Caenorhabditis elegans: one gene and its partner. The protein of the gene in region 2 interacts with the protein of the main gene of each other region in a pairwise test. Each region holds a gene or a part of one and is shown on either strand. Other genes may lie near its edges.

Region 1 (5,054 bases), on a different chromosome or scaffold from region 2:
ACGCGTCGAGACCCATCTGGATAAACCCTAGCGTCTTTAAGAAGGCATGTCAAAATCTACTGGAAACACAATAATCAAAATTCTTCGAATTGATCTTTATAAAAAAACATCCAAAAAGTAAATAAATCCAACATATGTCATGATTCCAACCGTCTGTCACCATCTCTTGTCATCTCATACTTCCCGCACGTGTTCCCAGTCGGCACCTCGTCAATCAGCTGCCTTCTTCTTCTCATCTAACCTGATACCCAAAATCTCATTATTCATAGTCTGTTTCCCATTGAATGACAGACAACTTGTGTCCATCCATCCATTCAATATTAAACTGCTTCTTCTCTGTGGACGGAATGACGAAAAGAAATATGTGCTCATCATTATTCGAATTTGATTCGATTCGCTTCCACTCATCGACACGCAATCGTCCGTGTCATTTGGAAAACCAGGGGACAATATAATTGAAACAATGCCGACATTGGAATAAAATTTGCATATTTGAACAGGCGAAAAATCACCGAGATTGGTGGCGCCATCTGTGCTCTAGAGGACGCCTAACAAGGGTTCATAAAAATTTCATACTTAACATAGAAAAAAGAGCAAAATCAAAAGGATATGATTAGTTAATTATCAACGATTGTGTGGTACGGGAGATGATTGGATTATGTATAAGGGGATCAGGGGGCAAGAAATAATCGAATTTATGAACCTCTAAGTACCCGTGGTACACGAAAATTATGAGAAAAAATAAAAAATAAAGCGAGATGGTGGGGGGAGCAACTAGAGACACTATTATGGGTTATAAATGACATATGAATTGGCAACTTTAAGCATAGTACAATAAGAACAATAATTGTGGCTCTCTCTATAACAATAAATATAAAGTTAGAATAAACATTAACGGAATGAAGAAGAATTTAAAGATCCTCTGGAGCATCCTTGATCAATTCGAGTTCTTTAATTGAAGATTTCATGTTCTCCTTCTCATCTTCAGATGAAGACTCGGAATCTGAAGTCTCCGAATCCGCAGCAGTGTCTTCCGATTCCGAATATTCAGTAAATTCTGGAGATCTTGGCTCAGAACTTTCAGACGAGCCAACCGATTGTGTATCTTCACATGTTTCTGATGACGCTCCATCGACAATCGATCGTTTTTTCGGATATTTTGAAACCGATTTTTCTGGAGCATCGCCGTCTTCCAGTTCCTGGATTCCAGCTTTTTCGAGAAGCACCAAAATTAATGGGAACATTTCCACGAAATCATTGATTTCCAGTGGATCCTCGATACTTGCCTGAAAGATATTTTTTCAATTTTAAAACTTTTTTAAACAGATTTCTGGAAGTTTACTTTGTAAAACCCAATAAAAATGGAAAAGCGGGGGAAAATATCGTGTTCGTTGCCTAATAATGTTTGATTTGGCACTATTTTTGGTTTTTTTCTTAAAATAAATAAATTAAATCAAAAATAATCAACGAAAACAGGTGGAAATCAATTATTTCAGCCAGCTACTGTAATCTCCTTTGCAAAATTGATTCTTCTCCTCGGGGACTACACAAGATGCGTAAATCAACAATTCACATTTTCTTATTAACCTCAATCTCAGTTTGTTCTTGCTGCTGCTCATCGTCGGGAATCGGTTCTCCAGTGACCGGATTGAACTGATAAGAGCTCTTCAAACGAACTTCTTCGTCAACAATCAGCGGCGGATGTTCATCCAGAATCTTTGTGACTGGAACAGACGTCGGCCGATGTCTTATCAGTGAGAAATCACCCAAACATTCACAAACGAGTCCTTCGTGCTGTCGAACATCTGGAAGTGACATTCGAGAACGCCCTGTCACGTGGTCGACTTGAACAGACTGAAAAAGGAGAAATACATTTATCGAAAACTGAAAATCTCTCACAATTTGTCTCATTTTCGTCTTGGCATCTGAGTTACACGGTTTCAGGCAACAGAATTTCACGATAATTGACACATTCGGAGTGTGCGGTGAGTTGATTGTGAACGACGACACGTAGGATATTCTCGCCTGACGAATTTTCGATTCAATTTCCATAAATGAATCAATGGCGCCTCGCAGTCGTCTCTCAAGTTTCTCCTGAAAATCAATTAAATAACTATTTTTTAGAAAAAAAAAACTATGCTGAATTTACATTTCTCGAGTGAACAATAGCGTAGACGTAGTCAGAATGCATCTTAACTCCTTTGAATGTTGCGTATTCTTCAATAAAGTCGTACAAAGATTTCAGTGAGACAACACAATCTCTGAATTCAACTCTCAGAAGAGTATCCCTTGAACAGTCCTCTCCAGACCGGATCATATACTTGAAAAGCGCTTCAAAGTTATCGACTGACCAGCCATTTGTCAAATAATACATGTTCGGTGGCCGTGTGTCTATCTTTTTGATGCATTGTTTCAGAAACAGCATCTGTTGGTCTGAAATTCAATAAAATAAACGATAAATCATTTAAAATAGTAGAAAACCAATTGGATAATCGGGTCCCGGCTTGAAACAAGCACGATCGTTCCCGTTATCAGCGTCGGTTTCTCCGGTGATCTCGTTTCCATCGTAGATGATATTCTGAAACTTTGGGAGCGGATTAAAATAAATTAATCATTCGAAAATAACCTTCAAATCGAAATCTATTTCTTCTGTCATTCTTCTTATAACGTTCAGATCTCCAGAGGACAGTCTTCGCATGCGACGACGCAAGCTCTGAGCGGTTTCGGAGATTATCGGGAAATTGGATGAATCTTCCTGGAAAATCATTGAAATTTGAATGTTCAATGAGATAAATAACACTAACAAGCCCGTAATCTTCTTCATAAAGCGTTGTCTCCTGAATAAGTGCAATTCCGCCGCCGTTTGGTAATGTGATCGGTTCAACAGTCGCCTGTGCCACTATTGTGCCAATTTGTTCGTTGGGATCCGAGAGAATTCGCTCGAAAGTCAGCCGGTTGCAATCGCGAAGTTTCACTGGATTAGCTTTCTGAAAATAACACAAATTAATTTCGATTTATTGTAAAACGACACGAAACCTTTGAGAAAATGCTTCTCCAACGAGATCTTACTCGCGAGAACACTCCGTTCTTCTCGTTCTTCTCCATTTTTACCTGTAAACATTAGAGGTTGATCAAATAAGGGAACTATGCTTAAAAATGAAGAAAAATGAAAAGAACGGAGCAAAAAATCAAAATCAAAGTACAATGAGGAATTGGCGGGTGAGAAAGGGGTCAAACTCGAATTTTCAGTTTTCAGAGCGATTGTAAAGGAAAAGCTGAGTTTGTACATCAAATTTAACTGAGATCAGCACGTTTTGTAAGCTATAAAAAAGGAAAATGTGAAAAAATCAGCTGAAAAGTGGAAAATGAGGTTTTAAAAATACAAGTGAAAAGCGGGCGCTTGCTGTCGTACGATTCAATGTTTAGTCCGCAACGGTGTATGCACGCCCTGTGAAATACCGTACTCGTTTGAAAATTTCAATTTTTCTGCAATTGCATGCAAACGTTGGTCAAACCCCCTTGAGAATATGGATAAATACACAAAAACTAATTTAATTTTTTACGCATTTCAAGGAAGGAACGACAAAATTCATGCCATCTGGAAAAATATATACATCAATCCGGAACATTTTCTTTCATGTCATTAACTCATCAAACCTATTCTTTTTCCAACAGTTTTCTCATTTTTCCAATTATTCCTTCTCCTCATCATTTCCCTCAATTAGCCATTCGATCCCGATTACTTTCCACTCTTTTCTCTGTCATTCTTGCGGTGCCGAACCGAACAATAACAATCAAACACATATTCTCTTCTTCTTTTTCAAAATGACCTTCAACTGTACCTCCTTTTGGAAACAAAAAAAAGTTGAATTGGCTTCAATTTATTTACAGTTTTATTTGATTGAAAACTTATTTTGTAGCATTTTTTATTGGTTTACACAGTCTGATTATGGCATTCCTTTAAACTATTGTACATGTGCTCTTGTTGCAATAATGTTTAAAATTTTGAAAAATTTGGCATTAGCCTGCAACCTTTATCAATTACATAGAGAACTCATTTCAATACATTCAAAAAAATGATCAGCTTCTGCAAAAAGTTGTTATTATCTAACCTTATTAATCTTCTTAGTAAAAAAAGTTTGCCAGAAACCTAAAATGAAAAAATATATAATTATGATGCTTGATGAAACGTTCTAGCAATGACTTGGCTTCAATGACTCAGCAAATTGCCTAATAGTTTTAGAAAAAGCGTCCTATAATAAAAGTGTCCATGGATATCAGTGGAATTGGACTAATCAATTATATTTGTTGTTATCAAAAATCTGAAACGGGAAAAAAATTTAAGGCATAAATTACTGTGAACCATTGCTTTTATTTTTTTATCTACATATGTACGTCAAACGATTCCTGTTTAGATTTACTCTTTCATCTCTCAGATTTATTTTTAAAGTTTAATAAAAATACTGAAAACTTTTTGATTTCTTTTCTACATCTATTTCCAGATTCTTTTCGAGCATATCTTGCTTCACTAAGTTATCTTAAATTTTTGAATGATAACCGAAAGTCAATTATATACTAGTCAATTATATTTATAACAACATCAAACGAATATTATTGTTAACATCTACATTTAAACTTGTTAAATTTAGACAACCCTAAGTTCACACAGAAAGGGTTATATGTATTGAGGCTTTTGTATACTTTAGGAAATATATAAATAACTGACCTGCAACATCTTTCAGATTTTAAAAATTTTTTATCATGGTTCACTAGGTTTTCTTAAAGGCTGTATGGTTTATTTCAAAATGTTCGATACAGAAATGTCAAACAATCTTTTTAGAAATTATTTGGAGAGACTCGTATGAAATTCGGTTTTCCTGGCTATTTTGGGTATGGTTAACAAAGAACCTTTTTCTCCAACTTCTTGGATTTTTTTTTTGAATTTTTTGAGGGCATCTCATGTTGACCTTCAAACACTAGCCACCAAAATTATGTGAAATTTCTTTTTGATTCTAAAAAAAATAATTTTTATCATGTTTCACTAGGTTTATTTA
Region 2 (4,308 bases):
TCATCGATTTTATTCAATTTTTCTCAAGATTTGTTTAAATTTTAGTTTTTTTTAGTTCATTTTATATATATAGCTACCTAGTTTATTCATTAATGAACAACTATGAAAAATCCATAAAAATACTACAGCAACAGAAGTTTGAAACTACAGTAATCTTTAAAGGCGCACAACATTTTGCATTTAATGAAAATTTGTCGTGTCGAGACCAGTTACGGTATTATTGGTACAAAAGCGGCAAAATAGGGGTTTCTATGTCAAAACAGCACTGTAAACTGCCAAGCGGAATTCGGAGTCTCGTTTGGCCACGCCCACTTGGTTCTTTGAACGTTTTTGCTTCACGAAAAAATGTCGTGTAGAGACCCAAATATGTTTCGATTTTTAGAATGTTCCTGGACACGATCGAACGCTTCCGGAATCTTAAAATATGGAGCAATGTATAATTTTTTGTTTTCTTGTTCACATACACATATTCTTGTTCTTACGGGTGTTTCTATTGAGAATGTATAAATAAAATGTAGATTTTTTATAAAAAATTTGTATTTATTTAGTTGATTCTGAAAATAAAAACTCAACGACAAATTCATAAACAATCAGTAGAGGGAATGTGGATGGGCAAAATGAAAACTTAGGGGGCGATAAAGTTTTATTATACTCAGAGAACGAATGATTACTATTCACAGGAAGATGGGTGAACTATGCTGGGGGGGGAGGTCATTCTAATATGGGTGAGGCTGGGTGTAATATGATTTAAAAATTAAAAAGAAATCATCAGTTATAAATGGTTAAAATCGAGGGTCTAGTTATGGTAATTACTGTTTTGAGATTAAAAGAGGATGGGAAAAACTTTAACAATCGGCTTCAATGCACACTTCCAGATGGAGAACACAATTGTTCCAGACATCAGTGAAGGAGAGGAGTGAACGGTCGAAGGTTGACGTGGAGCCCGGTAGCCACTGGAGGAAGGAGCGTCGGACGGATGAGTCGGACAGCATTGCAGCCACTGGTCGGCAGTTGATTTTGAATTGATTCTGAAATATTATTATTATTATTATTATTATTATTATTATTATTATCAATTAGAAATCAAAGAAATTAAGAGCAATTATCTGAAATTTGATTTACTTCTGTTTGCCTCAACACTTGCTCCTCGGTTATTCCGAATGTGTAAAGCCGGAAGAAGAGTCTCGAGTGTCTAGCAGTCCTCTCATCCTTCCACGCAAACTCCAGAAGTGCCTTACAGAAACCGTCAAACTCGACAGAAGCCACGTGAGCCAGTTCAGTCGGCAGAATGAGGTACATATCTTGCGTTGGGAAAATACGCTTGACGTTGGCGCAAACGTTCTGAAATGCAGTTGCCGACATCCCACTCTGCTCGAACATTCCCATCGATTCCGCAAAACACGTGGCAATCTCATCGCCGGCCTGCATGTCCACTTCGACGCGTTCGAAGTGATCCCGCTCGTGACGAGGTCTTATAATATTGTGATCCGTCACAAACATCTCATCGAATCGCATTTCTGTGAAGATCCTTTTATTCGACCACATCTCATGATCGATTGAAGAGTATTCCGTCATGAAACGGATATTGATTGATTTAACACGCCAAGCTTTGACAATCCTGTCAATAACCTCTCGAGGATGAGCCAATGTACCCTTTGACCACATACATCTGTCAGAGAACACAAGATCCAGTTGATCACAGTTAACATCTTGGGTAATCATTTTGGTGAGACGACTGAATGCTTCTTCTCTGCTTCCAACCATTGTAACGCAATGAAGAGCAATCTCTGCCAATAATCTGAAAATTCGTATAAAATTCACGACTCTTTGAAAAATTTAAATTACATTTCGGTAACAATCAATTGTTCATACGATTTTTTTCCCAGAATCGGGTTAATTAATGTACAAAATTGCACAGGACCGTAGATGCTCACACGGGAAGCAATTTCCGAGCACACTGCACATCCATTGCACAGCTCGTCGGCGCCTTTGTACGAATTCAGCGAATACCAGTTTCCGTCGAGCAGGCTGTATAAAATGCACTCGTGAATACGTTGATCTGGAGAAGTGAATCCAGAGAAGAGGAGATCGCGAACACGAATTCGAGCCACTGAATTTAAAAATCTGGAAAAATATAAATTTTTGAAGAATTGAAGATTTCCACAAACTCGAAGAATCTGGGCACTTGGGAGAACCACGTCCTCCGGTCATTTATCATAAATGATCGATCTTCAATATCATTTGACTCATCATATTCTGGTTCCTCTTTTTCATCTGCTCCTTCCGGCTGCTGATACGGACACACCTGCACCATTTTAAATTCAGCACGAACTTTGCTGAGAACCACGTTGTTGAATGATCTGCTCACTAACTGAAAGAAATATATTAATTTATTTTTGTGTTGATATTGTCTAAACCCGCAATCGCAAATTATCCAAAATCGATTTGTCGCCATCAACCGTGTATTCGATGATATCGTGGAGAATGTGCTGGTTGCTGAAAACTTTGGTGGCAGCGTCGACTTGAATGTCCAATTTTTTCTGCAAAATGAGAAATAATCAATTATATATCAAAACTGTTGGTTAAAACAAACAATTTTGCGCTTCGGACAGTCATCTTCTTCTCCATCGACAATTGCCTCGTGCAGCTTCTTTCTCAGCTGCATTTCCGTTGGATCTGAAAAAAATAAATTAATGGATTCGTGAAGAGGAGAAAACTAAAAAGAGAAGAACGTTTAATAATACCGAACGCTGCGGGAAGACAGAGTTTGGCAGCCGGCTGGTAGATCAAAAATGTGTTTTAACAATTTTGAGATCACTTTTTTTTTAAAATTTTCAGGTATAATATTTTTTCGGCCTGATTTTTAATTTTTTTTTAAATCAGAACAATCGAAAAAATGTCTAATTAGCTTAAAAACACAAAATGAGAAAGAAAATTTAATTTTAATAATTTTCGGTCTACTTGTCCGAGAGGACTACACAGTGCGTGGTCTAGGAGTTTCTTCAGCCACGGGCGTGGTTTTCAGAACTTGTGACATGAAAATCTGTGAGAAAAAAGCGGAGCATAGATGAAAAACTCTGAGAAAGTGAAAGTAGCTGTGATAAATGTAGCTGTGACAAAAAACACATATTTTCTGAACACTATTTTATTGAAATAAATCTCGAATCTAGTTCACATTCTAGTCCTGTTGCTCCACCGGCGCCACTTTTCTCACGAAGCTACGGACACACTGACTTTTTGCGTAGGTTTTGAGAAGTGAGCTCTGAAAATTATATATTTTGGGTCTTGTCACGAACTCAGTAAATGTATACCATCACACTAGTACGTTCCCTGCGCCAAACGTGATCTTCAACAAGTTCTGTGAACGCTGGATTTGGCTGTAAAATGTAACTTTTCAGTACTCTCAAGATAGGCAAGCAAGCAGAAGTTTCTCCTGTAACAACTTACATTCTCCCGCATGTCCTTGATGAAATCATCGAAGTGAAAGCTGATGATTGTGGCCTGACATGATCCAAGCAAGGTTGTGATCCTGCTGTTGTGAGTAACCAGGAGCATCTGCTTGATGTAGTGCAAGTCCTCATAGTTCTGCAAAAACTACATCAATATGGGTTTCTGGAATATTGTAGCTCACCTGAACAAGTTCTTCCATCATGTGCTTCTCAATTGTTGGGAAAAGCGGGCTAACTTCCAGTGGTACAATCATATCCGAAAGCTCAAGAATTTCCGCCACCATATTTGGTGTGAGCTTCGCCGGTGGATGATAGGTCTCAGTTGAGAGCCATGTGATCACCTGAAGAATTTTGTTGTCAAATTATGATGATGTTGACGCAATTTGGGAACCTGTTACCACACGTTCTCAGCCAATCTGTTTCAATGATTCCCCTCGTGTGTTCTATGGTGAAGTTTTTCTGTTAACATCAGTTGAACACCTTTCTTGTCGATAAGAAGGATAATTTTAAATTGAACTTTGGTATGTTAAAAAGTTGTTTAAGGTTAATTTTGTTTAATAAATATAATGATGCTCGTGCACTTGTGAATAAAGTTTTGCCGGGAAAAAAACTTGCTGGAAAAATCCCACAAATGGTAGAATACTTTTCCGGCATTTTCCAACATTTGGACATTTTTGAGCACTTTTTTAATATTTCCAGGTTATTTTCAGATGAAGAAAATTTTTTTTAGAAATTTATATTCTTGGAAAAACATGTCACACTGGCTCATGTTATAGAATTGCTGGACGGCAATTCTTACCCCTGGTTTGAACAAGTGTATGTACATTCTGGAATAATTTTTCAGAAAATCAATTTTAAA

The links. The genes of interacting proteins can lie anywhere in the genome.
Region 1: the proteins of C27D9.1 (region 2) and oops-1 interact in a two-hybrid assay, tested with the Caenorhabditis elegans proteins (one large-scale study listed by BioGRID).

Annotation. Positions count from the first base shown.
Region 1 is NC_003282.8:5,811,030-5,816,083, forward strand, and holds oops-1 (OOcyte Partner of Spe-11 (oops-1)), read right to left. Parts: upstream 3,114-5,054; 5' UTR 3,106-3,113; coding exon 3,037-3,105; intron 2,988-3,036; coding exon 2,805-2,987; intron 2,756-2,804; coding exon 2,627-2,755; intron 2,585-2,626; coding exon 2,482-2,584; intron 2,434-2,481; coding exon 2,150-2,433; intron 2,095-2,149; coding exon 1,900-2,094; intron 1,855-1,899; coding exon 1,588-1,854; intron 1,287-1,587; coding exon 912-1,286; 3' UTR 554-911; downstream 1-553.
Region 2 is NC_003280.10:4,751,813-4,756,120, reverse strand, and holds C27D9.1 (F-box domain-containing protein), read right to left. Parts: upstream 2,709-4,308; 5' UTR 2,666-2,708; coding exon 2,594-2,665; intron 2,541-2,593; coding exon 2,418-2,540; intron 2,372-2,417; coding exon 2,169-2,371; intron 2,125-2,168; coding exon 1,846-2,124; intron 1,799-1,845; coding exon 1,123-1,798; intron 1,029-1,122; coding exon 846-1,028; 3' UTR 518-845; downstream 1-517. Other genes in the region: C27D9.2 (TransThyretin-Related family domain), read left to right, coding at 383-440; F41C3.1 (Exocyst complex component Sec8), read right to left, coding at 3,179-3,262, 3,312-3,377, 3,448-3,585, 3,632-3,733.